Linked DNA regions of Notamacropus eugenii. The protein of the gene in region 1 purifies or fractionates together with the protein of each later gene. This does not show direct contact. Links are inferred from orthologs where the notes say so. Each region holds a gene or a part of one and is shown in the gene's direction. Other genes may lie near its edges.

What was found.
Region 2: the proteins of PRPF4 (region 1) and SNU13 purify together in Homo sapiens (affinity purification with mass spectrometry; 4 studies listed by BioGRID and IntAct, counting the BioPlex papers as one, with this or other methods). This does not show direct contact. The link is inferred for Notamacropus eugenii from reciprocal best matches to the Homo sapiens genes PRPF4 and SNU13.
Region 3: the proteins of PRPF4 (region 1) and DDX23 purify together in Homo sapiens (affinity purification with mass spectrometry; 4 studies listed by BioGRID and IntAct, counting the BioPlex papers as one, with this or other methods). This does not show direct contact. The link is inferred for Notamacropus eugenii from reciprocal best matches to the Homo sapiens genes PRPF4 and DDX23.
Region 4: the proteins of PRPF4 (region 1) and TUT1 purify together in Homo sapiens (co-immunoprecipitation; 3 studies listed by BioGRID and IntAct, counting the BioPlex papers as one, with this or other methods). This does not show direct contact. The link is inferred for Notamacropus eugenii from reciprocal best matches to the Homo sapiens genes PRPF4 and TUT1.

The regions. Positions count from the first base shown.
Region 1 is NC_092872.1:478,475,052-478,482,591, reverse strand, and holds the start of PRPF4 (U4/U6 small nuclear ribonucleoprotein Prp4), read left to right. Parts: upstream 1-4,446; 5' UTR 4,447-4,545; coding exon 4,546-4,572; intron 4,573-5,953; coding exon 5,954-6,137; intron 6,138-7,540. Other genes in the region: anaphase-promoting complex subunit CDC26, read right to left, coding at 2,597-2,677. UniProt on the Homo sapiens protein: Plays a role in pre-mRNA splicing as component of the U4/U6-U5 tri-snRNP complex that is involved in spliceosome assembly, and as component of the precatalytic spliceosome (spliceosome B complex).
Region 2 is NC_092874.1:300,682,112-300,689,927, reverse strand, and holds the start of SNU13 (NHP2-like protein 1), read left to right. Parts: upstream 1-4,401; 5' UTR 4,402-4,643; coding exon 4,644-4,646; intron 4,647-6,775; coding exon 6,776-6,896; intron 6,897-7,816.
Region 3 is NC_092874.1:220,629,727-220,637,919, reverse strand, and holds the start of DDX23 (probable ATP-dependent RNA helicase DDX23), read left to right. Parts: upstream 1-5,164; 5' UTR 5,165-5,752; intron 5,753-7,988; exon of another isoform or gene 7,989-8,102; intron 8,103-8,193. UniProt on the Homo sapiens protein: Involved in pre-mRNA splicing and its phosphorylated form (by SRPK2) is required for spliceosomal B complex formation.
Region 4 is NC_092873.1:15,715,203-15,722,997, reverse strand, and holds the start of TUT1 (speckle targeted PIP5K1A-regulated poly(A) polymerase), read left to right. Parts: upstream 1-4,600; 5' UTR 4,601-4,642; coding exon 4,643-4,724; intron 4,725-5,282; coding exon 5,283-5,360; intron 5,361-7,341; coding exon 7,342-7,532; intron 7,533-7,709; coding exon 7,710-7,795. Other genes in the region: metastasis-associated protein MTA2, read left to right, coding at 1-9, 123-197, 319-377, 564-661, 768-907, 1,118-1,346, 1,460-1,549, 1,635-1,753 and 2 more. UniProt on the Homo sapiens protein: Poly(A) polymerase that creates the 3'-poly(A) tail of specific pre-mRNAs. Localizes to nuclear speckles together with PIP5K1A and mediates polyadenylation of a select set of mRNAs, such as HMOX1.

The DNA.
Region 1 (7,540 bases):
GATGTGTTCTTAATCTGGAAATGTGGCAGTGCACCAACTTGACTTCAGTATCAAACCTTATGTTCTAAGCTAGCTGAATTTTCTTGTAATGTCTACCTGTCTTGCTGGCTGGGCCAAATCTGTGTGTTAACTCTATTAGTGGCACTAGTGCCTTAACGTTGGTGTTTGGCAAAGCCGAAGTTCATTATGCTGGCTAAGATTCATTACCATCAAAGCTTCCAACTGCCCCGAGGCTTATCCTCAGAAAAGAACTTGGAGGCTGAGTAGAGATGGGTTGGGGGGAGGGTTGGACTCCACAAGTAATTTCATTAGTATACAAAGCTCCCAATGAGGAAACCAAAAGAGGGTAGAGAGGTTCAGAATCTTGGCTCCTAGGTTCTGAGAAACCTGGCTTCCTGGTCTGTTCAGGCACCAGAAAAGTCTGTTTTTGAAGAAAAGTCTTCAAAAGCTCTGTTCTTTCTGGCCCCAAATCCATCATTCTCCTCCACAAAGTGCGTTTGGACTCACGATTCCTACAAGTCCAGAAGCTTTCCTCTGCCCTCTGCCCAAAGTTTGTGAGCCACTCCTGGTTCTTCAATCTGATGCTTGTGGCTCTCCTGTGAACTCCCAAACTGTAGTCTCTGGTCCACCTAAGTTCTCTGGCTTTCCTCAGGACCCATGGAGTCTGCAACCTTTCTTTATACCCAATACGCACAGTCAGCAACAGGTAGATCAGGTGCATCCCCAGTAGGGCTCATAATGAAAGCCCTTAATGTAACTGAGGTATCAAGGATGATGACACATCATAGGCCCAGGTTACACTCCTTGTGCATTTTTTTAAAAGTTAAAAAATTATGATGTTGAAAGCAAGCTATAGTTTTTAGGAGGAAATGAAAGCCAGTTCATAAAACATTTTAATAATAGCTATAATTAATATAACTTAATATAAATAAATATAATTTTAATAATAGATGTTCAAACTTTTTTGTTGCTCAGTCTTGTTTAGTTTTGTTGTCATTTTCAGTTGTGTCCAACTCTTCATGACCCATTTAGGGTTTTGGTTTTTTTTTAAAGAGCTTAATAGATGTTTATTGACTTGATAACTACTAGAAGACTCAGAAATATACTTTCTTTCATGTAGTACAGCACTCACATAACAATGTACATCAAAGGTTAACCAGTGGCAATGATATTGAGCACAGCTGAAAGGAACTTGGTTCAAATGCAAATTAGATCATCAAGGGCAAAGTTCAAATACTCTCAAATGTAATCCAAACTGAACCTATGTATAAATCAGGCAGGCTTTACTGATTTGAAATAAATCAAGGTCTTTATCTGACCAGAATCCCCAGCCTTTTAAAATCCAAGACCTACAATTTTTCAGCTCCAGAGGGGGCTGCCTGTTTAAAAAATAAACAAATATATTTTTATTTTTTATTATTATTTTATTTGTTTTCAGTGTTCTACAATCACTTCCAATGTATCTTAGATTTTTTCCCCTCCCTCCTCCCTTACCCTCTACCACCCCTCTCCCTCCCTGAGATGGCATACAGTTTTATATAGGTTCTACACATACATTCCTATTAAATACATTTTCACCTTACTCATGTTGCATAGAAGAATTAAAATGAATGGGAGGAATCATAAAACAAACCAAAACGTAATACAAAAGAAAATGATCTGCTACATTCTGCAATCGAATTCCATAGTTCTTTCTCTGGATGTGGAAGGCATTTTGCCTTAAGAGACCACTGGGAATTTTTTAAATCCTTGCATTGCAATGAAGTACTAAGTCTACCAGAAAAAATCCTCATAGACTGTGGTTGTTGCTGTGTACAGAGTTCTCCTGGTTCTGCTCCTTTCACTCAGCATCAGATCATATAAGTCTTTCCAGGCCTCTCTGAAGTCTTCCTGTTCATCATTTCTTATAGCGCAATAGTATTCCATTACATTCATATGCCACAATTTATTCAGCCATTCCCCAATTGACGGGCCTCCCCTTGATTTCCAGTTTTTGGCCACCACAAAGAGGGCTGCTATAAATATTTTTGTACATGTGGGACCCTTTCCCATTTTTATGATCTCTTGGGGATACTGGAGTGGTTTGCATTTTCCTTCTCCAGCTCATTTTACAGATGAAGAAACTGAGTAAAAGGGTTAAATAACTTGCCCAGAGTCAAGCGAGTATCTGAGGCTGCATTTGCACTCAAGTCTTTCTGATTCCAAGCCCTGCCCTCTATTCCCTGCAATATCTAGCAGCCCATTTAACTTTTAAAATACATTTTTAAAAAACCCATTCATATTCACTATCATATGCAAGATGAAGTGGTTAAAAGTTCACAATGTATGGCTTGCCTTGCTTGCTCCCTAATATAAAAAGACTGAGTTTAATTGAAATTTAAACATGCATAGTTCCATATGAAAATGCTTATTTTGATATGAAGTGACCTTCAAATCAAGGTTCTTCTAAGTAATGATGTGTACACATCTACACTAAAAACTCAATCTTCAACGTTCCTCTCCCAAATGAAATAGGTTTCTAGACAGAATACTTTAGACTAAGATAACACATCCTAAAATACCCACTCCATAAAATAACAGACGTGACCACACTCACCTCCAGATCCTTCCGGATACTCTCGAATTCCTCAATGTCATCTAGCTTCAACTCCAGGCGAGTGGGTTTTCGTCGGAGCATCCTGGTAACAGTTCAACACGTCCAAGCCAAATCCACCAAACTGTCAAAATTTAGGGAGAAGGAAGAGGCTCTACAAGAAGCATACTCTGGTGGGGATGGATTTTCTGCAAGCAAACAACGATACCCTAAACGTACACACAACCTCCTGAGCTGTCAGGAAGCCTCAATGACTCTGATTTCACAGCCATTCAAAAATAGCTGCCTGTGAAACACATAGAAACCAAAAGATGTACAATCCACTTTAATCCAGTAGTACTTCAGCCACATTCAGAGAAATGTACAAGTTTATACAGACAGTTAAAAATAACTTTCCTTAATTCAAAATGAATTACCATTTACAAAATGGATAGTGACAATCACTTTAATACCCTTTGCCTGGGTTTTTAGGGATTTGTGACCACTGGCAAAAGTCAAGTTAAGATTTCATTTTCAAATGAATCACACAGTGGTTGACTTCCTAATTCTAAGGAAAAGTCTCTTTGATTCATAACTATATAATGACTTGATGCAAACTTTTTCAAGGAACAAAAAACAGAAATAAACAATTGCGCAGATTTATGCTAAAATGTTTACAGAGGATTACGCTTTGTAACCATTAAAATGATTACAGAGGAAATCAATAATGCTAGGGTCATTTTTTTTAGCACCATTTAATGATCTGAATTTTAATAAACCTTTTTTTTTTTGGCTTTTCATAGACTTAAAAAGTTTTACTGGTGTTTTTCATGTTGTTATTTCTGAATATCCTTTTCCCCTCCCCTGTAACAGATTCCTATTTAGCAGTGTTAACCTCCCCAACTATTAGCATTGATTTAACATCCCTCTCTTCGGTAATGAAGAACAATGGACCGGAGTCCCTCAATGAGTATGCATGCCAGCATATGCTTTCCCACCGTATTTTAGGATTCTGGGCATACCCACCACACTCTCCAGACCCACTTCAATCCTGGAACCAAGATGAACGGCAGGGGATCTGAGATGGACGGAGCACTAGGTTCAGCGCATCAACCGAATATAAATACAGTAGGCAATTTCTGAGTGGTTCTTATTCCCCATCATCTATATCTAGGTATTTCCCCTACCTCCTTAACGTGGGGTGGGGAAGGGGAGGGGATGGAGGATGCCACCCTGCCTTGAACCTGGTCTACTCCGTGGCCCTTAGTTTCGCCATCTGTAAAACGAGAGTTGACCCATTTCCCCTCTAAGGTCAGTGGAATCAGACTGTGAAGGGAGAGGGAGGTTGTGGTTGAGGCTGGAGCCGTCGTTTCCATGACTACAGAGAGGCAGGCCAGCGGACCGAGCAGCAGGGAAGCCGAAGCCTGCCCGCCGGCGGCCAGCTCCTTCCTCCCGGCTCACGTCCCCTTCCCTTTCCGCCCGCCTCGCCCCAGGAACTAGGTCCTCAGCTCGAAGCAGCCCTCATGGCCCAACACCCACCTCCCCCCAGCGCGGCGCGGCTCAGCTCAGCTTGGTTTAGCCCAGTCCCGGGGCGAAACCGACTTCTCGGACCCCTACCGCCTCCAGCCTGTTCCACTCCGCCTTTCCAGCCACCTACCAATCTTCTGTAGGCTTGACCGCAAGGACTGCATCTCCCGACATGCCGCGTGGCCCCTTCCTTATCCGTCGCTGCTGACTACCTCTCCCAGAGTGCTCCGCGCTTCATTCCCTCAGGTTGCAACAGAAGCCCCTAGACGAAGACTACAATCCCCGGCCTGCTCCGCGCCTCCCCGGGCTTCCGGACTCCGTTTAGTTCCGGTTATGTTCTATTTCCGACACGTTTCGAAATTTCCGGTCCCCTGAGCGTGGAGTGAGTCCTCCGGCGGTGGGGGTCAGCGGCCGTGGTGGTCTGCGATTGAAATTCTTACCACAACATGGCTTCTTCTCGAGCTTCGGCTACGGTGCGGCTCTGGCCTTGGTGTTTAGGGATCCTTGGGAGTTCTCCCCACGTGTAGGGGAGCCGGAATTGGCTTCTGCCCTTCCACTGAACCCGCGCTCAGGGAGATGATGGGTGGGTTGGTGCAGAGGCAGGGGGATGGACTCGCCGAGTTCCTGACTCCTGACTCTGCCGCCCCTCCGAAGGGAACTGGCCTCCCCTCCCACCCCGACGGAACTGGGGCCACAGCTGGGGTTTGAAGTCAACGCGGCGGCGGGGGGGGGGGGGGGGGGGGGGAGGGGGGGAGTTGGAGTTCTAAAAGAGACAGTGTGGTAATAAAAAGTTGCCCTGGACTCAAGGTGGGAGATCGGACTTCCCAGCTCTACACGAATTTGGTTAAGCCTGTTAATTCCTGGCCCCAGTTTCCTTCTGTAAAGAGAGAAATCTAGATGAGATGCTAACTTAGACTTTTTCAGCATCGTGTTCTGTCATTGGGTTTTAGTCCTAGCTTTGTCCAGATCCCAGACAGATCGCTGAACCCTAGTTTGTCATCTCCAAAAGGAGAGTTACAAGGAAGCAGTTGTTAGTTCAGGATTGGGGAGGGACTTAACAAAGTTGTGGAAAAGGCTTCTGTGACAGATGGTGACTTCACCTTCACTTGGAAGTGTTTGAGCACAATTTGAATGACTGCTGGTCAGGGATGTTACAGAGGAGATTTCCTGTATCTGCAAAAGGGATGGACTAGATGATGTAGACTCTAAAACTCCAAAATTGTATTTAAAAAGGTGATAATCCCTGATCTTTTCCCTTCGTAGGATTTTTGGGAAGATGAAATAAGATTATGCATGTATAAATGCATTGAAATCTAGAAAGTTCTATAGAGATTGTAGTGTACTTCAGAGTTGAAAAAACATAGACCCCAATTTAGAATTTTCTTTGGTTTAACCAGAGGTAAATTTTCTCATTATGTTTCCCTTTAAATTCACTGCTTAAATTTATTTCAGGTCCTTTATTATCTAAATGACTCTAAAAGGACATTGAATGGATAGCAAGCTCAGTATGCTATTGATAACGTAAATGAACACTCATTTCTCCAAGATAGATTGCACCTGTCCCCAGAGGTCTTACATCTTAATAAGCAGTATCAAAGTAACCTATTGATTGGGAAATCACTCAGAAAAAGATGGAGTTCATTAGTTTCATCCCACACGTTTCTTGTCCCGAACATGCTCTCATGTGAGGGATGCACTAAAACAATTACTACCTTATCTGAGTGGGGAAAGTTCCAACTGGTGCTGTGCTTATTTCTGCAGATCCAGGAATAGCATTTGGTTTCAGAATTAACACTTCAGGCAGTTCCGAAGGTTGCTCCAACTCTAGGTTAACTCTACTTTTTGATTTTATAGGCAACCAAAACCCCCAGTAGGACTCCTGAAGACACTGCCTCCCCTGTGGTGAAGAAGCCTCATATCTATTATGGCAGTTTGGAAGAGAAGGAGAAGGAACGTATTGCAAGAGGGGAGTCAGGGATGTTGGGGAAAGAAGGAATTAAAGCTGGAATTGAGGCTGGAAATATTAATATAACTTCTGGTAAGACTAGTTTTGGACTAATCTTTTGTGTTGCCTGTTCTGCCTGGTCTTAAGTACGGGTTTTCTAGGTTTGAATATTTTCTCCTTTTACTTTGGGCCTTGATTAAAATAAGTTTTGCATTATCAACTATAGTCTCTCCTTGAACTTCTCTTTATGGAAGCGTGATTTATAAATGGTATCTCTGAGACTAAGTTTTACTTTGCCTGCCTCATATCCATGGGCCTTTACATTCTTGGGGATTAATAGTCTAATTTGTATTACATTAGTCTGTCATATGGTTGTAAATTCTACTAGATTTTAAATTCCTTGAAGGTACTAAACCAATCCTTACAATGTGTCAGGTACTGTGCCACACACTAAACATGTGAGTGCAAAGAATGTAGCATTCCCTACAGTTAGGCAACAAATACAAGCCTTAATGGCTGTATGTTTGTATATATACACATATACGTATACATGTATTTATATATTTCATAAATTTAAAGTGAATAAATACAAATATATACAAAGAAGTTAAAAACAAACTTGCTGAACAGATTGTTTTGGCCTTGTATTTACCATAGTGCCTAATGTAGTATGCACTTAAAAGTAGTCATTCTTCTCATCTTGTGTCTTCTCAGACACCTTTTTCTTCCCCACATCTTTTTGGTAGGACTGTTCCTATGAATTATGAGTATTTGTACTAGAAAGTCACTCAGAGTAAGTTCATAGAATCATATTCTGCTTCTTCAAAGAACAAGTTTAACATGGTCCTGATATTACTGTTTTGAGCCATTGTGGTCATGTTTATTTCTTTTGCTTTTTTTCTTTTCCAAAGTTTTTATTTGATCGTTTCCCTATACTACATCTGAACAGCTAAGCCACTGCAGCTTAGCCAAGACTCCCTAGTATTGATTCTAGTTTTAAAAACAGTTTTTTTTTAACCTGATCCTGTCTGTAAACTTGTTTTTTGCTTTTTTAAAAGTTAAAACTTTTAAAATGCACTAAGAGTTTTGGGACAATCCTTTATTTTGTTGTTCAGTCATTTCAGTTGTATCTGAGTCTTCATGACCCCATTTGGGGTTTTTTTGGGCAAAGACACTTCCTTCCCCAACTCATTTTACAATTCAGGTAACTGAGACAAACAGGGTTAAGTGACTTGCCCAAGGTCACACAGCTAATAAGTATCTGGGGCTGGGTTTGAACTCAGGTCTTCCTGACTCTAGGCCCAGCATCTATCTGCTTAGCCACCTAGCTGCCCCAGTCTGTGTCTAGATCACTGTAGTTTGTTGTAGTTGATTTCTGTTGTATATTTCATTTTGTGTATTTAAAAACCTTCTGATAAGGGGTCCATAGGTTTCCCCAGACTGCCAAAGAGTTTCCATGATATCTTGTCCTAGCTTATTTAAATGAGTCCAAGGAG
Region 2 (7,816 bases), on another chromosome or scaffold:
GCTGGATGAGGTAGTGGATAGAGCACTAGGCCTGGAGTCAGGAAGACTTGACTTGACTTGACTCGTCTGACCTCAGACCCTTCCTAGCTGGGTGGCCCTGGGCAAGTCACTTCACCCTGTTTGTCTCAGTTTCCTTACCTGTAAAATGAGCTGGAGAAGGAGACGGCAAACCACTCTAGTATCTCTGCCAAGAAAATCCCAGTGGGGTCAGGAAGAGTCAGACATGACTGAAAGATGAGCCAACAACAGATTTATTTGGTCTGTGCTTTTTGTTGCCTGGGCAAGATGTATATGGCTCCTAGGCTTTGGAGATGTTGCTTGTGGAAGGAGTTGAATGTCTGGGATCTTGCCCACTGCTCTCCAAGGCAGACTAGGACTCCTGCCCTGAGGGGAGCAGAAGGGCTCTGAAGCTGGCCACTGTTCTGCAGGCTCTGAGAGGGCATTGGACCAGAAGAACCTTATCAATTTGCCCCTCTAAACTCTGCTGGTCAAGGGGCACAGTTTTTAGGTTCAGAACAAAAAAGTCATTTCCTTGGACTAGCATGTCCTTAGCTTCCTTGCCTCCCTACCACATGGTGTTACCCAAAAGACCATCGCAAGTGTAAATCAGAGAAGTTACATAGCTTCGAATATAACAGAAAATGCACGAGGGAATGAGCTCTTTAGATGGGAGTGAGATGAGTGAGATGAGGTCTGGCTCTGCCAGGACAAAGGCCCTGATCTCTCTGAGGCTAGAACTCCCTGAAGGCCTCTCACTAGGGCAAGGGGCATGCTGAGAAACCAGCTTCCCCAAGTGTCTTTCACTTCCAAAGTCTTTTTTCTTTCTTTCTTTCTTTTGTTTTTTCTAAGTGTTTACTGGTGTCTTCTCACATCATCATAGTTATCCGACAGATCTCTCCCACAGAGCCATGCCACATAACAAATAGTATTTTTAGAGGAAAAATTATTACCACAACTGATGGTATATTGTGTCAACTTGAAAGTTTGGTTAAAGGAGGCAAACAGACTAGGTGGCATATAAATTCATATTGTTTATTCCCTTAAAGCTAGCCAAAGCTAGCGAACATGTATGTATGAGGAGCCAGAATGTGAATTCTGACTGACTGATAAACGAATGACCAGCCTTAAGAACAATCGCAATCTCAAGATGTCTATGTCCCTTGGATGTATGGTCTCCATACATGTAACCATACCATGAGAAAGGAAGTTTCTTAGTTGAATAAGTCATAAATACAAATTGACAATTGACAAAGTAGTGTCAATTACAATCCCAGGATATGTGTTTCCCTTGGATACCAAGATAATAGAAGCCTTGCTATTCTGGTTGCTGGCATCCTGTCCTTAATGGTCACAAACAGGAAGAATGCTCCTTGTCAGCCTTATCTGGTCCTAAAGTTGCTGACGCAGGAAAGGGCATTTTTAGAGCAAAGCAAAGCACGTCTATTTGATTAGTTCAGGCTTTGGCCCTTATGGGGCCAAATGATCTGAAATGATTATCAGTTGAAAAAGTTTGAAAATACGTGCAAGTCTGCCTTTCTTTCCCCATGTGTCTGTGATTCATCCCAAAGAGGATGGGTCTCGCATGATTCTCTGAGAAGGACTGGCTTTCTTCTCCAAAACTCATGAGCCAGTGGGCTCTTTCTGCATCACCAAAGGAAGCTCAGTCAGAGTCATCTGCATAAGAAATGCCTGGCCACTTGTATCCCAGCACTTGGCCCTGTGCTGCCTGGCAGATACTTGATGGATTGATGTCTTCAGTTCAAACTCTAAATCTAAGACCCTATGAATGAATGAACCAATCAGTCAGTGAGCATTTATTAAGTACTAAGTGACAAAACTAAGTGCCAAAACGCTGGAGATTCCAGGCATTTGCCTGGTGCACAAAGGACATCTATACTAGGTGCTAGATTCTGGGTATGCAGAGAAAAAGACATCGCTTTCAACTCCCTTTTTACAGAGGAGAAAACTGAGGCCTGGAGAGGCCAGGTGATCTGTCCAAGGTCACACAACTTTTAGGTAGGCAGGGTTCCATTCTATTCCACTGGTATTCATTGAGAGCTTGCTGGTTGCAGAGGGCCCTGGGCCAGGCTTTGGGGCAAAGGCTGAAGGAGCTGAAAAACAGCCTCAAGAGAAGCCACTAGAAGTGGCAAAGTCTCAGAACCCAGTGGGGCAGGAGGGCAGCTATGGTGGCTGGTGAGGAAGCATCTGTCTCAAACCTCCACCAGTTTTCTTTTTAAAAAACAAAACCTAAAGGGGTTTAGTGATGCCTTTGGTTTTTAAAGTTAGTCATTTCAGTATCTAACCCTGGCCTCCCCTCTGAGTGTTCCTTGAAACTGAACTCTCTCTTGTGACAAAGACTTAAGAGTTTGGCTCCAGTAGCTAGTGTCCATTCTGATAAAACAGGCCACATTCTCCATTTAGAGTCACCAGGTGGAGCTGCCATTTATGGTGTTCTTTTGGTTCTGCTATTATTAGTCTGTGAAATCCTAGGCAGTCCCTCCCCTCCACCTCTCTGAGCCTTGGCTTCCCTATCTGTACACTGAGGGAGTCTGACTCCTTCAGGAGTTCTTAGCCTTTTCTGTGTCGTGGCCTTCTTGAAAGTTAGGGACAGCTGAGTGGCCCAGGGGATAGAGCACCAAGCCTGGAGTCAGGAAGACTCAGACACTTCCTAGCTGTGTGACCCTGGGCAGATCATCTCAAACGCCTCTGTTTCCTCCTCTGTAAAATGAGCTGGAGAAGGAAGTGGCAAATCACTCCAGTATCTGTGCCAAGAAACCCCCAACGGGGTCAGGAAGAGTCAGACATGACTGCAAAGACAGAACTCCTTAGGCATTCTGGTGAAACCTATGAACCACTCTCAGAATCATGTTCTTACGTGCATACAATAAAATACTTAAAATAAGGAAGGAAAATAATTATATTCAAGTCAAGAAGCATTTTTATAGTGTCTACTATAAAATATACAGTGTCAGGGACTGGGGGTTATGCATGGAGATATACAAAAGGACAAATAATTGTGACCCCTGCCCTCAAGGGTCTTACAGTCTAAAGGGTAAACGGTGGGGGGAATGTGTCAGCAACTGTGTGTGTGGGGGGGGCCAAAATCTTAAGGGCAGTAAAACGATTACAATTTAAAGCCACACTAAGACTATTGGAACACGTACCCAAACAAGATTCCCACTGGTTAAATCGGACTTCATCCCCAGAGGGAGGCATGACCTTTAAGGGGAGTCGAGCAAACCTTGCAGGAGGTGAAATTTAGCTGACCTGAAGGCATGGGGAAGCCTGGAAGCCCAGACTTGGAAGCAGGGAAATACTGCTGAGGCACTGGGGACAGCGAGTGGAAAAGCATGGAGGGGGGAAATGGGGGTCTTGTTAAAGGAACCGCAAGGAGGCTGCTGCTGCATGGAAAGTTGTTAAAGTGTGTGTGTGTGGTGTGTGTGATGTGTGGTGTGTGATGTGTGTGTGGGGTGTGATGTGTGTGTGTGTGTGGTGTGTGATGTGTGTGATGTGTGTGGTGTGTGTGTGCGTGTGTGCCTGCGTATGTGTGTGTGTGGTGTGTGTGTGTGTGGGGGGTGATGTGTGTGGGGTGTGTGTGATGTGTGTGGTGGGTGTGTGCGTGTGTGATGTATGTGTGGTGTGTGATGTGTGTGTGTGTGTGGTGTGTGATGTGTGTGGGGTGTGTGTGATGTGTGTGATGTGTGTGGGGTGTGTGTGCGTGTGTGCCTGCGTATGTGTGTGTGTGGTGTGTGTGTGTGTGGGGGGTGATGTGTGTGTGGTGTGTGATGTGTGTGTGGGGTGTGTGTGATGTGTGTGGTGGGTGTGTGCGTGTGTGATGTATGTGTGGTGTGTGTGGTGTGTGTGATGTGTGTGTGGTGTGTGATGTGTGTGGGGTGTGTGTGATGTGTGTGATGTGTGTGGGGTGTGTGTGCGTGTGTGCCTGCGTATGTGTGTGTGTGGTGTGTGTGTGTGGGGGGGGGGTGATGTGTGTGGGGTGTGTGTGATGTGTGTGGTGTGTGTGTGCGTCTGCGTATGTGTGTGTCTGCGTATGTGTGTGTCTGCGTATGTGTGTGTGTGGGGGGGTGATGTGTGTGGGGTGTGTGTGATGTGTGCAGTGTGTGTGATGTGTGTGGTGTGTGTGTGCGTGTGTGCGTCTGCGTATGTGTGTGTGTGTGCGTGTGTCTGCGTGTGTGTGCGGTGTGTGTGCGTGTTCCCGGCCCCCGGTTAAGACCCCCTGGCCTAGGGACCTCGACGATCCTTTCCGACTTTGATCCTGCAGCCCGGGGGTCTCTGCGGAAAGCAGGTGCCGCCCCGAGGCCCAGAGCGCCGGCTCCAGGCTGGAGCGATCGCACCGCCGAGAGACGCACCCGTAGTACCACGACCCGGAGATTTCTCCCAAGGTTAAGGAGCCGAGTCCCCAGGCAGCGCACGGAGACGTCCGGCGGCAGGGGCGGAGGGAGGGGCGGAGGGAGGGGCGGGCCCAAGGGTTCCGGGCGTGGCTCCGCCCCCTTTCCCAGCAGCCTCCTCCCCCGGCCCCCAGCGGGGCCTTTTCCACTCCAGGCATCCTCCGTGAAGCTTTCGGGCCGAGAGGACTCGTCCTGCTCCCGCGATCCCAGCGCTCTTCCGACTGCAGGATCGCCAGGATGGTGAGTGATCCGGGCCCGAGGGGCTGGGGGGCGCGGGAGGCGCTGCGGGGCCCGGGCGGAGCCCTGGAAGTGGAAGCCTTTCCGGCGGCCGCTGTCGGAGGCGGGGCGGCTGCGAGCTCGAGGCTGGGGAAGTGGAAACATTGTATCCTCTGCCGGGCTCCCGGCCTTGTGGGGGTGGGGCGGAGGCTGTGAGAGTGGAGACTCTGCGTTCCGTGCTCCGCTCTCCGCCGCGCCCGCCCGGAGGAGACGCCTCGTGGAGTCGGGGCGCGGTGGCGGCCCTGGGGAGCAGAGGCCGAGCCTCGGCGAGTCCACGTGGGAGCGAGGCGGGAAGAGCCGGCCGGGGCGGAGGAGGCGGCTTCCAGTGGTCTCAGTTTACCCCGAGCACGTGGCGAAGCGTGGCCGGAGGCGGCCGCCCCCCGCAGTGTCGGCTTGAGGTCCGTAGGCAGCGGCGGGGTGAAAGGAGAGGGCCCGGGCGTGGGGCACCACGGTCCGAGTCCGGAAGTGATAGTAAATAAGTAGTGCGGCCCCGCTGGTCCGCCACGAGCAGCCGAGAGCCCGGCGTCCCTGGCGGCCCTGGGGGGCAGCCCTGGGCCCGAGGGAGGCACGTGGCAGGACCGGGGACCCCCGCGGATCCATCGTGCGAGGAGCCTGAACGCGGCCGAGGCTCGTGGAGCCCTGGGCAGGTCAGCGCCCACGGGCGGACGCTTGTCCTTGCGTGGAGAGCCTCCGTGGTTTGCCCAGGGCACCCTCCCTGTCCGGAGCCGGTGCCTAGGAGGCTGAGGACCCGGAGGGTTGTGGCGGGCTCCGAGGGTCAGCCGGGGCAGGAGCAGTAGGGAGCCCCTGAGGATGTCCGAGCAGGGAGGGAACCTGTGCCCTACGGGGCACATCCCGGAGCGATGGAAGGAGAGGAGCTGTTGGAGCTGCCTGGACCCCTGACTGGCCAAGCTGTGGGAGCAGGGAGGAGGCCGACTGGGAGGGGAAAGTGGAACTGGTCCAAAGGGCTGGAGAAGGGGTCCTGGAATGGACAGCATGGCTCTGAAGCTGAGCACGCTTGATGACTTTCCTAGACAGAACGAAGGTGTTGGACTAGATCATTGCCAAGGGCATTTCTGACTCCCAAATCTAGGAGGAATTGGGTCACAGCCCTGGCTTCCCTCATCCCCCCAGCCTCAGTTTCCTCATCTGTAAACCACGTCTTCTCAAGGATGGCAGTTTAAGGTTTTGTCTTTGCTTTCTTGTCGATTGGGGGTCCTTATTAAGGAAGGTTCTGGACTAAGGTTTGAGGGCCTCCTTGGGCCCCAGGAAGCAGGAGTTAGTCACTCTTGAGAGAAGGTGGAAAGGCATTCTGATCCCAGATCTTGGCCCCTACAGCTGGTGGTATTCTGGGTGAAGCATTCAATGCTGTCACCCATGAATGATGATTCTTTGGGACTTAGGCTGCTCCAGCTGGATGGAGAGCTGGCACTGAGCTCCATCCTCTTCCAGAGTCTAGGGCTTTCCCCACCAGGACAGGGCACCCTTTGACCCTTGGGCATTCAGGATTTGCTTCATTCTGTTGTGCTGTTCTTCAGACTGCCCCACTGGGGCCTGTCTCCCCCTAGGGGGTGGGGAATAGTCTTGGAGAAGGTCTTAGCTCTCTGCCTTCCCAAGTGGCGTTTGGGAAATGCTGTTGATTCCAATTGCTGAGTAAGCACTTCTCCCACTGATTAGTAGCATCCTTGTCCTAGGCTGGGGACTGGAATGGAAGAGGGAATTGGTCCCTGCACCAAAGGGGCTAGCTCTTTACCTATTGGAAACACAAAGTCAACACAGTAGATGTGCTTAGCACCTGGCCAATCAGGCTGGGCTTCTTGGAGGAGGTGCCATAAGGGAGCTGAGAGACTGTCCTCCAGGGACCAGAGCTGGCATGGCAGGAGGAGAATGCTTTGCCAACCTAAAAGCCCTCTAGAAATGCCAGCTGCTCTGATTATACCATCAGGAACCCTGATGGGCAGGGGGAGGGAATCACCTGGGCACAGGGTATACCCAGAAGGTCCTACCTTGCTTCCTCACTAGATGCTTCCCTGGCCCTTGAACTGTAAATTGCTGCTAATGAAGCCTTGACCCCCAATTCTCCTCCCCTTTCCTAGACTGAGGCTGAAGTAAACCCAAAAGCTTACCCGTTGGCTGATGCCCAGCTCACCAAAAAGCTTCTGGACCTGGTACAGCAATCCTGTAACTACAAGCAGCTCCGAAAGGGCGCCAATGAAGGTGAGGAGCTGGCTGGCATATGCCACTGGCCTTCCTGCTTGGTGGGGGTGGGGCAGGGGAGGGATCGGGCTGAGACTGGAGGTGAGGGAAAGCACGATGAAGGAATGAGCATCTGGGCAGAGCTCTGGGGATGCAAAGCAAGGCCGCCCCTGCCCTCAAGAAGCTCCTGTTCTGAGGAGTGGGTTGACACCCAGAGCTCTGCCCATCAGGGGACAGGCCTTCAGGAACTTTAGGGTATGGTAGGGGCGAACTAATTACTCCAGTGTTGTTTCTGATTCCGCTGACAAGTCTTGGAGTGCTTCTCGTAGGCCTGAAGGAGTGAGTGATTGGGTAGGGCATTTCTCACCCATTTCCTAATTTAGTCCTTAAGAGAGGGAAGAGGTCTGAAGTTCAGGGTTCAGAGCCCAGCTTGGCTCTTCCTTTGACTATTCTGTGTGACCTCTCCCATATCAGAGGGTCATAGAGCGGGTCCAAGCCTCCCATTTTTTATAGATGATGCAACGAAGGCCCAGAGAGGTTAAGTCAGCCTGCTGGTGATGGGAGGCAGAGATTGGGCCTCAGTTGCTGGCCCCCCATTCAGCTCTGGCTTCCATAGCCAAGTCTCTGGGTCATTGGCCCTTCCTTTTTCTATAAAATGACCTCATTGGGGCCTTCCCCTTTTTTGTATCGCGGGCCCTTTTGGGGACCTGATGAAGCTGATGGGCCAGTCCTTCTCAGAATAGTGTTTTTAAACATCTGGAGAAAATGCTAGACTTCATGGAGAGAGGTTAGTGAAAATGAAAGTGTCTTTCTTTTCCTCATTCAAGTTTGTGGACCTGGGATTCAGAAACCCAGCTGGACCAAGCAGCCCCTTTATCCCAGTAAGTAGGAAGGCTGCACTTGAAACAGGGAGCCCCCGTGATTGGAAGGGGCTTGGTCCA
Region 3 (8,193 bases), on another chromosome or scaffold:
CTTTCACCTGCCACATGAGAATGCAAGCAACGTGAGATTGTTTATACGTGCAAAACATATTTCTATATTAGCAATGCTGCAAAAGAAAACACACACACATACATACACAAACCAAGAAAAAATAAAGTGGAAAGAATCTGTCTCAGTTTACATTTAAAGATCATCAGTCCTCTCTCTGGAGGTGATTAGCACTTTTCATCATGAATCTTTTGGCATTACCTTGGATCACTGTCTTGATGAGAACAGCTTAGTCTTTCACAGATGGGCATCATTACAATACTGCTCTCCCTGTGTAGAATATTCTCCTGGTTCTGCTTACTTCACTCTGCATCATTCATAGAAGACTTCTCAAGTTTTCCTGAAACCATCCCACTTGTCAGTTCTTATGGCACAATCATATACCACAACTTATTCAGCCACTCCTCAATTGATGGGAATTCCCCAAAATGTTCAATTTTTTGCCCCTACAAAAAGAGCTATAATTTTTTTTTTTTACAAATAGGTCCTTTTCCCATTTCTTTGATCTCTTGGGGATATAGACCCAGTTGGTGGTATTCCTGGGTCAAGCACAATTTTATAGCCCTTTGGGCATAGTTCTTGACTGTTGACCAGAATTTGTTGTCCAGAATGTTTGGACCATTTCACAGGGAGTTCTTAGATATTTCAAAATAGCTTGTCTTTTCTATGGTAGAAAGTGACATAATGGAATATAATTATGTTGTAAGAACTGAGAGGAACTGATTCAGAGAAACTTGGGAAGACTCACGTGAGCTGATGCAAAGTGAAATGAGCAGGACAAGGAGAACAATTTATACAAAGACTGCAGTAAATATAAAGTGAATAAGCTCTGATGTGGCACCTACCATGTGCTAGGCACTGGGCTGAGTGCTTTACAAGCATTACTTCATTTGACCTCACAACAGCCCTGTCAGGCAGGTGCTCTTATCATTCCCATTTTGCCGTTGAGAAAACTGAGGCAAACAGAGGCGTTAGTGACTTTCCCAGAGTCATACAGCTAGGAAGTATCCAAGGCCAGATTCGAACACCAGGCCCAACTCTATCCACTGAGCCACCAGCTGCCTCTAAGATAGAATGGAAATGTCAAGAAAAACAGTTTTGAGTGACCAACTATGGTTTTAGAAGACTAATAATGACACTTCCCACCACTGGACAAAGAGTCAATGGACTGAATGAGATGTAACGTTCTAGACATGTGAATTTGTTTTCCTTGATTTATACCCATGTTTCACAAGGGAAGGCTTCTCTTTGGGGAGAAGGGGTAGGTGGTGATAGTGATGCAGAAAAAAATTAAGGAAAAGAAACAAGAATTAATGAAACATTAAAAAATATACAAAAGGTAACACAAGGAAGTTCATAAGGTAAAGATATAGTTATTTTGTTACTATTGTGTTAAACTTAATATACACTTTAAAAAACCAAATTGCATATAATAAAATTCACAGTTCCATAGCCAAAAATAAGGAAGCTAGCCAGCTCTGGGGTGAGCTGAGACAGTGAGCTCTGAAAAAAAAAAGTTCACTCTTCATCATTTTCTTTGTATCTTCTCCTGGGTGCAACAAAAGGAGAGAAGGAAATTCCTCTTCTCTATTGTAAATATTGTCTTGTAGCAAAAACACATAACCATAGGAGACCCCACTACCAGCAGAGGGCAAACAGAAGTCCACCTGGGGACATGAGCAGAGCAGCTAGAGCAGTTGAGAGTCTAGGCCCTAGATCCTGGATCCTGGTGCTCAGGAGACAAAAGATCTCAAAGCATAAGACCTGTGCTAGTCATAAATTATAGGCTCTAATTTTCCAAAAGTGAATAGCAGTGCCCTAGGTCAGAATTTCAGCCAAGTTTGAAACTGGATAGCTACAGGAAGGCAATGAAGCAGCACACAGGTTAGTGGGGGCATTTCAAACACTGTAGTACTGGAGGCATTAGTTGCCCCTCTCCCACGCTCCTGTGATGAGACAGTGCTCATAGACTTCCATAATGTCCAGTCTCTGTAATTCAAAGCCTGTTTCTTAATAGTCACACAAGTACATGATTTAGTGTTTCTAAGAATTTTCTAACTCCAAGTGCTTTTCTTCCTAACTCTGAAGAATTCAACCTGCAGGTTGAACTGGGAGGAAGAGGGCAGCCAGGGCCTGGGGGGTATATTACACTTTGTGGAATCATCTGAGACTACTTATCTTGGGTTTGCATTTGCAGGAGCCTGCTGGGAAGTCTTAAAATCTCCTCTTAGAGGCTACAGTTATAAGATTACAGAAATTCACTGAGAAAGAATCAGTATTTTTCTTTTGGGTGGTTTTTTTTTCAGCTTTAATTAGTCAGTTTTTTATGTCTTTCCTTTACAAGCCAGACCAGTTGCTTTGAGAAAATTTAAATTGAGTCCCACAGTACTTTCATCCTCAAAAATTCCAATCCTGTGGTCACCTCAGTTGCTTGATGCACCTAGGCCTAGCTCCAGTCAAGTTTTATTTCACCCCATGGCCATGTCTTTACCAATTGACATGGTGCCATGCACATACCCTTTGTCCCTCTCCACCTTTCCAATTCTGGAACCATATTCAAATCAACTCTGTCATTACTCCTGGTAAAAGTGTGCCAAATCTATTTCCATAGGGCTCTGCTCACCCATCTTGCTTTCCAAATCAACATATTCCTCTTTTATCACCACTCATATGTTCTGTCTTGTCTATTAGAAGAAAATTCCTGTCTTTCTTTTTGTATTTGTGTCTTCAGCACTGCTTGGCACATAGTATGCATTTATGTCTTTTCATTTATTCATTCTTATATACTGAAATCTGCCTTATTATTGTGTTTATTACGTGTACAGAAGCCGATGTGTGAAGTATGGATGTCGCACTCCTAGAATACCAGTGCCTAGAAATACACCTAGCCCTATGGGACTCGCCATTTAGTATTTAATAAAATTTTAAGGAGATCTGGACAGCCTGCCCTGTTGTGGTCTAAGTCTGGATACTTTGAGATCCGTATGAACTGCAGTTTCTTAGGATAAGATTGACCTGATGGTCTAAAAATCCCAGGTAATAAGCAACAAGTGCTGAATCCTTTTTATGAAGCCCCATCCAACTGTGGAACTTTTTTGAGTTTGATTTCCTTTTTTTTGGGGGGGGGGAGAGGAAGGGAAATAAGATTGATTTCTTTTTAAGCCAGGCTACTGTCCAGTTTAGGACCAGTTTAGACCTCCTTTGGGAATGCTCTACTATAGTTTTACAGGAATCCACTGAAGAAATTTTACAATAGCATCTCTCAGATAAAAAGAAAATAGATTCCTAACCAAGTGACAAATTTATTTAACAAATTTCAGAAAGGTCTTAGGAAACCGGATGCTTGAAAACTCATTTCTCTTTTCTCAGGACATCTGAATAGGCTTTAGTCAGTTATAATAATAGATTTTACTTTATCTTTTAGGCATCTACTTTATCTTTTTTTCACTATCCCAGTCAATTAAAATGTCAAAAGGATACCAAATACCCTAAAGTAAAAAACCTTCTTCAGCTGTAGCCTAAAATCATAAAGATAATACCTGGTGCTCACACCACAGAACAATCTCAAAAGGCAAGTTAATTAAAACTTGCCCTCTTTAAAGACTATTTCTTCAGTACTAAAGCAGAAGCAATAGTAATAGTATCTACCTCGAAGGGCTATCCCAAGTGTCACATGAGATAATGCTTGTAGAGAGCTTTAATTTAATTTAATAGAAGCTCAGGAGTGAATCAAAACAGCTGTGAGAAAAGTTGGTCTTTCCTTTGTCCTTTTAGAGTACAAGAGGGGATCTTTCTCCAAGCAAATTGTCTTAGAGTGGTAGCATGTGGGTGTAGGAGAAGGGTCTGTGCCCAGTAGCAAACCTGCAAGGAGCTCTGAAGTATATGAGTGAACCCAAAACAAGGAGCAGAGAATCCCTGCATAGTAGCACCCTACACCAGAATGAAAGCTGAGTGCAAAGCAAAGTGAGACAGTGGAAACTACAGTCAACAGCAGAGACACCAGACACATCAAAGAGCAGTCTCAATATCTGGGCCTTGGAAAATGTACACTGGCGCAGTCTGACCACCTTTGTTCTTACCCTTTGAGGTATCAATGAAATTATAGGGTTATTTATATATACATATGCTATATTATTAAATAAGATATAATTGTGTGTATTATATATAAGGGTCTTTTATACCCCTTTATCTTGGTCTCCCAGAACCCCATTCCTTTCATTTAATTTCCTTTGCCCCAAATTGTATCTTCTCCAATTGTTCTTCTTCAGTTTCCCTTAGTCCGTGGCCTTAGGGGTTCATAATTCCAATTCTATAAGATTAAGGTAGACTAATTAAACCTTTCTCTCAGCCTTTCCCCCCCTTCCTTTTTGTCCAGCATCCTGATCAGTTTTTCAGGTGGAATGAAGGCCCAGGAGCTGAGAGGATCAGCCCACACCCCTTTGGGGCCATACAAAAAAGCAAGCCAGCCAACTCTGATACATACATACACACAACATGCATACAGGTGTACACATGTGCACCCACATATGTATACACATGCACACACATATACGGGTGTCCACATGTGCACATATATGCATGCATAACACACACGTGCGTACACATGTGCATACACGCAAACATATATACACATGCATACATAACACACATATATAGGTGTACACATGTGCACCCACATATATATACACATGCATACATAACATGCATACAGATGTACAAGTGTGCACACACATATACACATGCAAACACAACACACATACAGGTGTACACATGTGCACCCACATATATACACACGCAGCACACATAACATATACATATGTACACATGTGCACACACATACACAACACATACGTGTATATGTGTGCGTGCACATGTGTACACATGTATGTGTTGCATATGTATACATACACATGCATACATAACACATATATGTGTACAAATGTTCACACGCATGCATACATATGTAACACATATACAGGTGTACACTGTGCACACACATACATACAAATATACACACGCACACATAACACATACAGGTGTATTACACATGCATACACATATAACACATATACAGGCACGCACACACTTCTGGGGGGAGAACTATCCAAAGAGATGATGTGCCTGCGCATGCGCTCAGGCGCACGACACGAGGAAAGGTTCAGAGACAGCGCAGTACTCGGGCAGAACTGAAGGTACGGGGCGGGTTTCGCACAGCGCCCAGCGCTTAACGAATGCTGATTACCTCCACCACCTCCTCGCCAAAAAACAATGATTCTTCCACAAAAAATGTTTTGGGGCTTTGCTAACAGGTGGCATGGCAGCTTTGCCTGTCCAGACAAATAAAATGGCTTCATTTCCTTCATCTTTAAAAAGGAGTTGGGCATCACGCCGTCTAAGATCTCTTTTGGCTCTAAATTCTGCAATTGTAGAACCCCAGAGCAAGACCTGTGAACATTATCTTAGGGTATCCAAGACACCACAACACCCTCTAGGAGGCGCCCTGGGAGAACTACATTGCCCAGCGGCTCCTCCCCCTCAACCCAATCGCCAGCGCTGTGCACGTTGGGAACTGTAGTTTTCTGGTACGTGTGATTAGCCCAGGCCCAAGAGGCCGGGGACTCGCTTTCCCAGCTTGGCGCGCGGCCCCAGGTGCCGTCTGGGTGATTAGGAACCGGGAAAAATGGCGGTCTCTCTGCGACGTTGAGGCCGCGTTGAGCGGTTCAGCTCCGGTGTGGTGAGTCTCGGGTTCTCTGGGAACGAGGACCAGATGGGGGCTCCGAGGCCCCCAATCCCTGGGGAATCAGGAGTGGGAGCGGGGCTCGCGAAGGCACCCTGGGGATACAGGAAGCCCCGGAGGGCGGGGACGGGGTGCATCCCTGGGACCTTTCCGAGGTGATAATGTTAGTAGCTGCCTGCAGCCTCGGGGAGCTGCTTCCGACGGGCGGCAGACGCGGGGGGCCGCTTCAGTGCCTGACGCGTGCTGGGCTCCGCAGGACCGGGAACCGCTTGGAAGGGGCTCTTCCGGAGCCCCCCAGGCCAGCCGCTGGGACACTGATCTCGCACCCCAAGCCGGGCCGGGCCGGGCCCTGCGCCCAGCCCTAGAGCCGGCTGGCATTTACACCACCCCACCCCTGTGTGCTGAGCCCGGGCACTCTGCTCGGCACGGTAGACCGCCCTGCTCGTGGGGTCGTAGCCTAATGGGGACAGTAGCCCCTAGCGCCAGTGACCCATCCCGAGCCCAGGTGTGCAAAAGACATTTCCCTGTCACCTCTGGGAAGACTTAAGGAAGACACGTTTTACTTTTCCAACTTCAGGAAGTATGGCTAGATTGTTATAAGGGACGGCTCTCTGGGAAGGTGGAGGAGGTGGAAGGATGGAGGGGAAATTTAAAATAAAAGATATAAGGAAAATATCCACTTAATGCAAAAGCATTGACACTAGCCAAAAAAAAAGTCTTCATAAGGGCTCGTCCAGTTTGACAGAATCCTAGAAAGGCTGAAGACAGTGTTAAATACTGGATCACAGAGTCTGAACGTTATTGGGTAGGTTGCATAGAGAACCTGTGAAAGGTTTTGGCCAGAGGAATGACGTAAGGAGGAAAGTTAGTTTGGGAGCAACGTGAAGGATGAATGGTGGAGATAGAAGACTTGCTATGATCTCCAAATTTTTCTTCATTTCACACTCTCATCAGTAGATGACTCTGAAACATACCTCCAGTGTATGCATATTTATTGTAAAATGAAATCACAGGTCCAGTGCCTAGCCTATTCTGTATTTGTAATTTGTGAATTGTTAATGTATATTGTAAATAAATTATTGCTGTCATTATGTACATCTTGTGACATCAGTATTACATGTATCTTATGTGTATACATGTATACCTATGTATAAAAACAAGCACAGAAGTAGAAATTCTTAAAGGATGACATAAACTTTATTAATGATACAGAGAAGCCTTTTAAGTGACATTTTTAGTGACCAAATTGTGATGTTCCTCATTGTTTTTAAAAATCTTGGTTTCACACTGATTTTTGGTAGAGAATTTGGTTCTAAGTTTAGTGTATTTTGGTATTTGGTTTCAATGACTGTCACAGCTGGAAAAGAAGATGCATAAGATCCAGGGACCCACATGGAACGAGTGTGTCATTGCCATGCTTAGGCGGAGTCATGATGCACATTTTTCAGTCCCTTCCACCTCTCATGCAGTCATTTTTGTTGAAATTTGGTTAATAGGTTTTCACCTTCCTTTATAGTGTTCATTCTTGCAAACTAATCAGGAGTTATTATCAGCTCCTCATTTTCTCTTACTCCATGTTTGTATTTTTAACAAATGTAGTTAAAACCCACAACTCATTACTTGGAAGATTTTTAAATGGGTTGGAAAATTTTGTTTTGTGTTTTTAAGTATGCAAACAGAGATTTTTTTAGGTGGCAAACCTACCATTTATGGCAATAAAATTTAAGGGTTTTTAAAAAAATGTTTTGTTTATTGTGACAGTTTTGTACAATCGTTAGCTAATATCAGTCATTAAGTGTGTATCAAGCACCTATTATATACCAGGACCTGTTGTGGGCCTTAGAAATACAAATACAAAGAGTTAAACAATCTCCACTTGCAAGGAAGTTCTATCAGGAGAGACAGTAGGTACATATATTATAAGACTTTGCAAAAGAGAATAAATACAAAGTAGTTCAATACAAGATATTTTGGGAGGGAAGATACTAGCAGTTGGGATCAGGAAAGACTTCATGGAAAAGCTGTTTGAATTGTTCTTCATCCTTCATACTCAAAGGGGACCAATGACTTCATGATGTTGGGGTCAAGGTGCAGCGTGTTTGACTGACAGTCTTGGAAGGCTTTACCACAGGTCAGGCACAAATACTCCATTTGAACATCTGGGATGGAGAAACCTCTCAGCTTGTGCATCTTGTGTGTCCTTCGTGCTGCTGTGATTCTGCTTTGCTCCTAGAGCACGGTGTCTGATTCTGGTGAGATGCCACCATCTCCCATGTCCCACAGTTGACGCTAAAGTTTTTCAGAGAGACCCAGCGAGTGTCCTGGTACTGCTTCTTCTGACCTCTGTGTGAGTTCTTTTAGGTGAATGTATGTTTGGTATTCGGGTATACAGAGTTGGAGTGCTTGGCAGTTCAGCCTGAGAAAGAACCTTGTTGTCT
Region 4 (7,795 bases), on another chromosome or scaffold:
CAGGACTTTGTGAGTAGTGAGGCTGTGAGCAGGGCTAGGTTAGGAAGCAGCAGCCACAGCAGCAGCGAGGGGATCGGGGTCCTCAGGCTAGGGCGCCAGCTCACTCTGCATCACCTCCCCAGCTCCCCTGGAAGTCTCTCGCCAGCATCGTCCAGTTCTATTACATGTGGAAAACCACTGACCGCTACATCCAGCAGGTGAGGACCGGTATGGGGCCCATAGAGGAAAGGCAGAGAGCTGCTGTTGGGTGGATGGGGGGAAGCCAGGCCCAGGGACCATCCCACATACTGCTTTTTCCGTTTCTTGTGTCACCTACAGAAAAGATTAAAAGCAGCCGAAGCTGACAGTAAACTGAAACAGGTCTACATCCCTACCTAGTAAGTGGGAGTAGGTGGGTACGGAGGGGAGCCAGGGCATCTTCCTTCCCTTCCCTGTGATCTGGAATGGGTGGGACTGGGAGGAGAGTGGCAGGGAGACTCCCTGGGCTGGGATGGGGTGGAAAGCTGCCACTGGAACCAGCCTGTGCATCCATCCTGTCCTATCTTTTTCTGTCCCCCACCCAGCACTAAGCCGAATCCAAACCAGATCATCTCTGTGGGGTCAAAGCCAGGCATGAATGGGGCTGGATTCCAGAAGGGGCTGACCTGTGAGAGCTGCCACAGTGAGTGTCGGGGCCTGCTTCAGCTCCTATCTCAGTGCTTGAGGGTGGGGGACAGGCTTGTCCCTTCTGACTGCCACTCCACCTGCTGACCTGTTTGTTTCTCTAGCCACCCAGTCAGCACAGTGGTATGCCTGGGGACCCCCCAACATGCAGTGTCGACTTTGCGCTTCCTGCTGGATCTACTGGAAGAAGTATGGGGGGCTGAAGACCCCAACGCAGCTGGAGGGGGCAGCACGGGGTACCACCGTAAGGACCCAGGGTTGGGGCTTGTGGGAAGGGCCCGAGAAATCGAGAGCTTGAGAAAGCTGCCTCTCCTCCCTGACTAACAGGAAGGAAACAGTCTGGCAGCTTTGGATTGTTCCCCTGAGCCAGTGGATCCTGAAGGTGGGGTTGGGGTGGCTCAGATCCAGAATTTTGAGGGCAGTAGGACCCCACTTTGTTTCCTCTTTCCACCAGGAGCCGCACTCCCGGGGTCACTTGTCTCGACCTGAAGCCCAGAGCCTTTCTCCATATACAACTAGCGCCAACCGGGCCAAGCTGCTGGCCAAGAATAGGCAGACGTTTCTACTGCAGACAACAAAGCTGACCCGTCTTGCCCGGCGTATGTGCAGGGACCTGCTACAGCCGAGGAGAGCTGCCCGCCGACCCTATGCCCCCATCAATGCCAACGCCATCAAGGCTGAGTGTGAGAATGGGCAGGAGAGATTTGTTGGAGAGAAGGGGGAAGTGTCCACAAGGTGTATGGACCCTGCCTGGGCTGGGTCACCCAGATTTGGTAACTTTTCTTGCTGTCACTAGGCTCCATCCGACTCCCCAAGGCAGCCAAAACGCCTCTCAAGATTCATCCTCTGGTGCGACTGCCCCTGGCGACCATCGTCAAAGACCTCGGTATGGGACAGGGGGATGGTACAGAAGGGCTGGGAATGGATCTGGAACAAAGGATTTCAGCAAGGTCTTTCTCTTTCCTCTGTAGCGGCCCAGGCTCCTCTGAAACCAAAAACCCCACGAGGCACAAAGACACCAATCAATAGGAACCAAATGACCCAGAACCGCAGCTTGGGGGGCATTGTGGTGAAACGTGCCTATGAGAGTGTGAGTTGGGGAAAAGGGGGGAACATTTGGGGGACTCGTCTTCCTTCCTTGGTCTGCTTGGTCTCAGAGGGGTTGGAAGTAGTGATAATGGCAGAAAATACATACATGTGCTCAAACATACATTTTGCATGTGCACATGCCAGCTTTTACATAGCCTTCTAAAGTCTTCTGGTCCTCACAACTCTGGGAGAACAGTGCTGTTACTCTCATCTGAGGAAACTAAGGCAGACAGGGTCACATAGCTAGTAAGTGAAGCTAGATTTGAACCCTACGTATCCCCTTGTTCTTTCTCACCCATGAAGATTCTAGCCCATTGGGAGGCAATGCTTCCTTACTTTCAGCTTGTTCAGAAGTGGAGTTGGAGGTGGTGGGCTCCTAGAATGATGGGGGATGGGGTTTCACTGCTGAGGGCTTGAAAGCTTCCCTTCCTCTTTTCCAGGTGGTTCCATTTTCAGCCAATGGAAGGCCCCTCACCTCAGGGATTCGATCAAGCACACAGCCAGCAGCCAAGCGGCAGAAGCTGAACCCAGCGGATGCTCCCAACCCTGTGGTATTTGTGGCCACAAAAGACACCAGGTAGTGGGCAGACCAGACAGTGCTGGGCACAGGGGTGGCTGATAGCAGAGACTGGGGGTGTGGAAGCAGGAATAACGGGACTGGGCAGCCAGGAAGGGCCCAGCTGTCAACTGATTGCATCTGCCCTGTCTTCTCTGCTAGGGCATTACGGAAGGCCTTGACTCACCTGGAAATGCGTCGGGCTGCAAGGCGGCCCAATTTACCATTGAAGGTGAAGCCTCCACTGCCATCAGTCAGGGCCCCGATTCCTCCGCCTCTACCCCCACACCCTGCCAGTACCAATGAGCCTATTGTCTTGGAGGATTGAGCATTTTGGGGGGAAGGGAAGAGAGTAGATGGGAAGGCGGCCTCTAGACAGGCACATTTACCTGTGTGTGTGGGTCCTGGGAGGGCATTGGAGAGCTTGCTTGTAGCTTCTGACACCACATCTGCCTCTTCCTTGGCCTTCTCCAGGTCTGGGGGAAGGAAAAGCCCCACATGGGATAGCCTGTTTTTGGGGGTACAAAGGACTCAGTCCTGGGGCAGGTTTTTTGGGGGGGAGGGTTTTTTAAAGTTTTTTTTAATTTTTCCTCCCCTTGTTGGGGAGTGTGGGAGGGGAAAATAAGGTACCAGTTGGTACCTGTGGGGGTGGGGCGTGCACTGCCATGTCTCAAGTCTTGTTTTCTTTTTCTAATTTTGGGTTTTACTCCCATTCGATGTCCAGACTTAATTGGAGTTAGAGGCCTGTGAGCTCGGGCAATCCCAGCTCCTTGTGCTCACTCTTGCTTCCCTTCCCCCACATCCCTGCCTTTTGTACACCAACTCTCAGAAATAAAGACCCTTTGTCTGTTTTTTAACCTTGGAATCTATAATCCGTTCTTAGATCGATAAAAATAAAAAACTGTTTTTCTTCAGCTCCTCCTGGCTCTGCTGCTCTCTGACATGGGATGGGGTCTAGGGAAGAAGGGAGGTCTGATGGAGGGTGGAAAATGGACAGCAAGATTGACCATCAGTCCCAGGAGAGGCTTCCCAGTCACTTCCTGGTGGAAGCCCTTAGTACAGTCTGATTGTAGACACCTCTTTGTTTGATATACCATCTGTTTTGGGGGACAGCTGTCACGGGGTGTTCTAGAGGAGTTGATTCTAGGAATTGGCCAAAGCAACCTGGGTGAGCTGGCGAGTCCCCTCCTGACCACCGTCTTTTGGAAGTTCTGGGATTGGCCCTTGGGCTAAGGCTAGTGAGGCAGGACGCTGCAGGCTAGGAGGATATGCTCGACTGCTTTGGGGTAAGAGATGAAGAATCCCTGGGTCAGTGGAGAGTGAGACCGGGGCCCAGAGTCACAGGAGGGATGCCTGGACAGATGGGGACTATTCACATCCCACACCCACCATGCAAGCTCTGAGGACCGGGACTGCCTGTGTCTTCGGCACCTGGCACCTAGAAGGTGTTATGCCTGTAGGATCTGACCGCCCTCTCCTGGGCTCTGATGCCAGGAATCACTTGAGGGCAGAGGCTGAAGTTACGATGGAAGGGGTTAGGGCAGGCCCCCCTCATCCCTCCCAAGGCTCTCCTAACTTCTCACATGTATACTTCCTGGGCCGAGGCGGTCCAAGTGCACCCATTTTTCAGGTGAAGAACTGAGGCCAGGAAGTTGCCACGGATTCAGTACATTCTGGTGACAACTGCAGGGCGACCCCCCAGGCTGCAGCGCCTCAGCCCACCAGGATCCCTCGGGGCAGGAGTGCTGGAGGGCCGCCGGGGACAGGGCCCCTCAGGGCTGGGCGGTCCGCTGTGGCTAGGGCACAGACCAGCCGGGCCAGGGTCACGCCCACGCGAGTCACTCCTACCCACCGAGGAGTCACGGGCCCTCGGGGGTCCGTCGTCTTGCGTGGGGTTCGGCTCTATCGCCCGTGCCCGAGACGGAGGAAGAGACAGCCGGGGGCACTCTAGCACCCCTCTCTCGGCCCGGCTGCCCGGAGACTGCGGCGGGGCCTAGTCGGTGGCCGCTGGGGTCGTCTCTGCCGGCGGAGAGGCGGAGCTGGGATCCCCTAGCTGCTGGAGACCCGGCCGCTCCACCGTTGCTCATGAATATTCATGTTCGCTCAGGGCCAATCGACGACAGGCGCTCTCAGAGCTGGCCAATCGCGTCACCGTATGCAGATTAACCCGGGAGGATGGGGCTGCAGACCGAGTGCGCAGCCTGAGTCCTGAGACGCGACCGAACGAGCCCCAGATCCCCGAGAGTGGCGGAAGTGCCTTCTTATTGAGCGATCCCGGTGACCCACTTCCGGTAGTGGCGGAAGTCGTGCCTGGCCCGTTCTGAAGCGGGAAATATGGCGGCGACGGAGCCGGATGTGGAGGCTTTGCCGCGCGGGGGCTTCAGATGCTGCCTCTGCCACGTGAACACAGCTAATCGTAAGGGGGCGGGTTGGCGGTCATGGGTCACGGAGCCCCCAGGCCTAGGCGGACGGGGCTGGGCCCCCTGCCCCGAGGGGAGTGGGGGAGCTCTCTTGGTCCCGTAGCTGCGGTTCCGCGGCCTTTGGCCGTTTACTCCAGTGCGGAAACCGAGGGCCCGGGGAAGTTACCTGAACCAGAGATGGGATTCGAACTCTTGTCTACCTAACGGGCTCCAAGTTCGGAGCTCTGGCCGCTGGGCAACAGTGTCTCACGGGGTCAAAAGTCAGGGCGAAGGCAGAAGCCCAGCTGGGGGGCGTGGGGTGGGAGGGAACAGAGGCAGACAGCGGCGAAAAGGTTTGTTCAGGGTCACCCAAGTGTTCGAGGCTGAATTTGAATTCGGGCCCTCCTCGGTCTTCCTTACAAGCATCCAGGCGAGCTCCCCTCCCTTCAGAGGCACAAACCCAGGCACGAGGAAGGCCTGGGTCTGCTTGGCCTCAGCATCCAAGCACCCAGGGCCATCCAGGGTCTAGGAGTTCTGTGGCCACTCTCATGACGCGGCTCTTGGGGCATCTCCAGTGCTGCCCAGGTCACCTGCCTCCCCACTGCCGGCATCGAGGAGACCAAGGGCCAACATCTTCCAAGGCCACGTCCCTGGTACAAGCTTTATAGACCTGCCAGGGTGGGCAGTTCAATGGAACCTCTACCTCCCTGCCATCCCAGAGTTTGGAATGAAGCCTGTGGCCCACCTCTGGTAGAGAGAGAAAGGACTGGGGGCAGAGAACATTCCAGGGTGTAACTTTGTATCTCTGCCCAGATACTTTTGTATCTACCCAAACATCTGCATTTGTGGACATAACCCACACTGAAGGTGTATTGCTTGACCATATTTATTCATAACAGAGATTTTACTGTTCTTGTTTTCTCAATGGGGGAGGGCAGAAAGAGAAAATGAGTCAAAATAAAATTTAATTTAAAAACCACTGTCTTCCACTCTTGAAGAGCATGCCCTTTTATCCTGGTCATTCTCTGCCCATCCTCAGCCTTCCCTCCCTTCCCGTTGTAGGCCTGCTCTGCTTTTGTTTCTAAGCCACTCAAAGAAACCCCAGAATCAGCTCAGCTGAACATTCTACACATTCAAGTGATCTTATCTCAAGTGGACACTCCCTGCTGCAGGACAGTCCTTTCGGTTGATCTTTGATGGACTCTTTCATGCCCTCCAATGGGTTTTCTAAACCTCCTTGTCCAATTCCTGCCCTTATCCCTGATTGAGCTGGTCTGTCTCCTGCTCTCTACCTCCAGACTTTTCTATGTCGTCCTCTTCATCTTCTTTTCTCTGGCCTCTAGAGCTGTGACTTCTCCTTGTCAGAGCCCTTGGCCTCCTGTCTCTTTGTCTCCCCTTCTGTCTCTCCTGAAGACTTTACTTGTCTGTGGCACCCTGGCCTCCCCCTCCACACCTCATGTCACTGCTCCATGAGCTTGCTCTCCCCAGGGTCCTCGATAGCCTTTTCTCAGTCCTTGTCCTTGTGGACATTTCTAAGGGCTTTGTATCCCAGTATCCCAGAATCTCGTCCAGGACCATTATCATGGAGATTCTTTTTTTGCTGCACTCTACTGACATCTCCCCTGAGGTATTTCTGTGGTGCTGTTGCTCCTTGTGAATCATTGTTTTCTCTAACTTTTCAGCCTGGGACCTTGGCACAGGTGTCCTGAGGGCCCACTCCCTTCCCTTCTCCATACACACTCTTCTTAGGGACTCTCTTCTGTAGCCATCTCTATGCAGATCATTCCACATCTCTTCCTGCTCCTCCTGTGTCTTCCCCCTGCCTCCTGGACCCTTTCCCTGGATCTCTTCTGTTCAATCCCAGCATGTTCTGAGCCAAGCGCATCAGTCTCCTGACCTGACTGGCCTCATCTCCCAATCTCATTTCTGCTGTCCTCCTCCTGGGCTCTCACCTCGCATTCCAGTCATGTCAATTCTGTGTCCCTTCTCTTGCCTCCCAAAGTCAGGCCCATGTCGCCCTCCCCCCAACCCAGACTCTTGTTATCTCCTCCTGACTGGTGTCTCTGCCCCCAGTCTCTTCCCTCCCTCCTCTGCCCTCCATCTTCCATCCTCCATCACACTCTCCCATCCTTCCCTCACCCCTCACACCGCCAGAATCATGCCGGGGCCCAAAGCCCTTCTGTGAGTTTTTGTTGCCTATAAAACCAAACCTGGCTTCCTTTGCCTGTCATAGCATGGCATCCCTCATCTGGCCCCTGTCTAACCCCCTTCTGGCTCCCACCGTGCTTTCCTCTTGACCTCCCCAGACTCCATGATTCTGTCTGTGCCTTTTAGGGTCAGCCCAGGAATGATCTCCCCAGGTGATACCCTAGTTGGAGGGAGAAGACCTGGGTTCAAAGGGGATCCTCATGTTTCCTTTCTGTGTGACCCATTGCAAGTCACTTAGGTTCTCTGGGCTTCAGTTTCCTCAACTCTATGTTGAGGGGCCTCCATGGCCTCTTGAAGCTCCACCCAGCTCGAACTGTGGTTTGCCTGAAGCGTTTGGTTTGGCTCTTTCCCCCATGTAGATTAAAACAGTCAGTACTTTGTTGCTGCATCCTTGGAAGCAGCACGTGCTTAATGTGTGTATTTCAGGGCCCAGCCTGGATGCCCACCTTGCAGGCAAGAAGCATCGCCGCCTTGAAGAGCTTCGAGCTGCACGCCGGGCCCAGGGCCTGCGGAGCGTGTTTGTCAGTGGTTTTCCACGTGGTGTAGATCCAGCCCAGCTCTCTGAGTACTTCCAGGCCTTTGGACCTGTGGCCAGCATTGTCATGGACAAGGACAAGGTAGTGGGGCCAGCCTGGGCAAGCCCTTGTGAGCAATCTGATGGAGGAGGGAGTAAGATCCAGGTCAGGGAGACTCTAGGGACAGGCTGGAGGAGATAGGAGATGGTGGGGCTTGGGGTTGGGCCATGGTGATTGGAGAGGAGTGTCTGAGAGCTTTTCTCTGCTGCGGCCTAACAGGGAGTGTTTGCCATTGTTGAAATGGGAGACCTGGGCACCCGGAATGCTGTCTTGTCCCAGCCTCAGCACACCCTCGGTGGCCATCG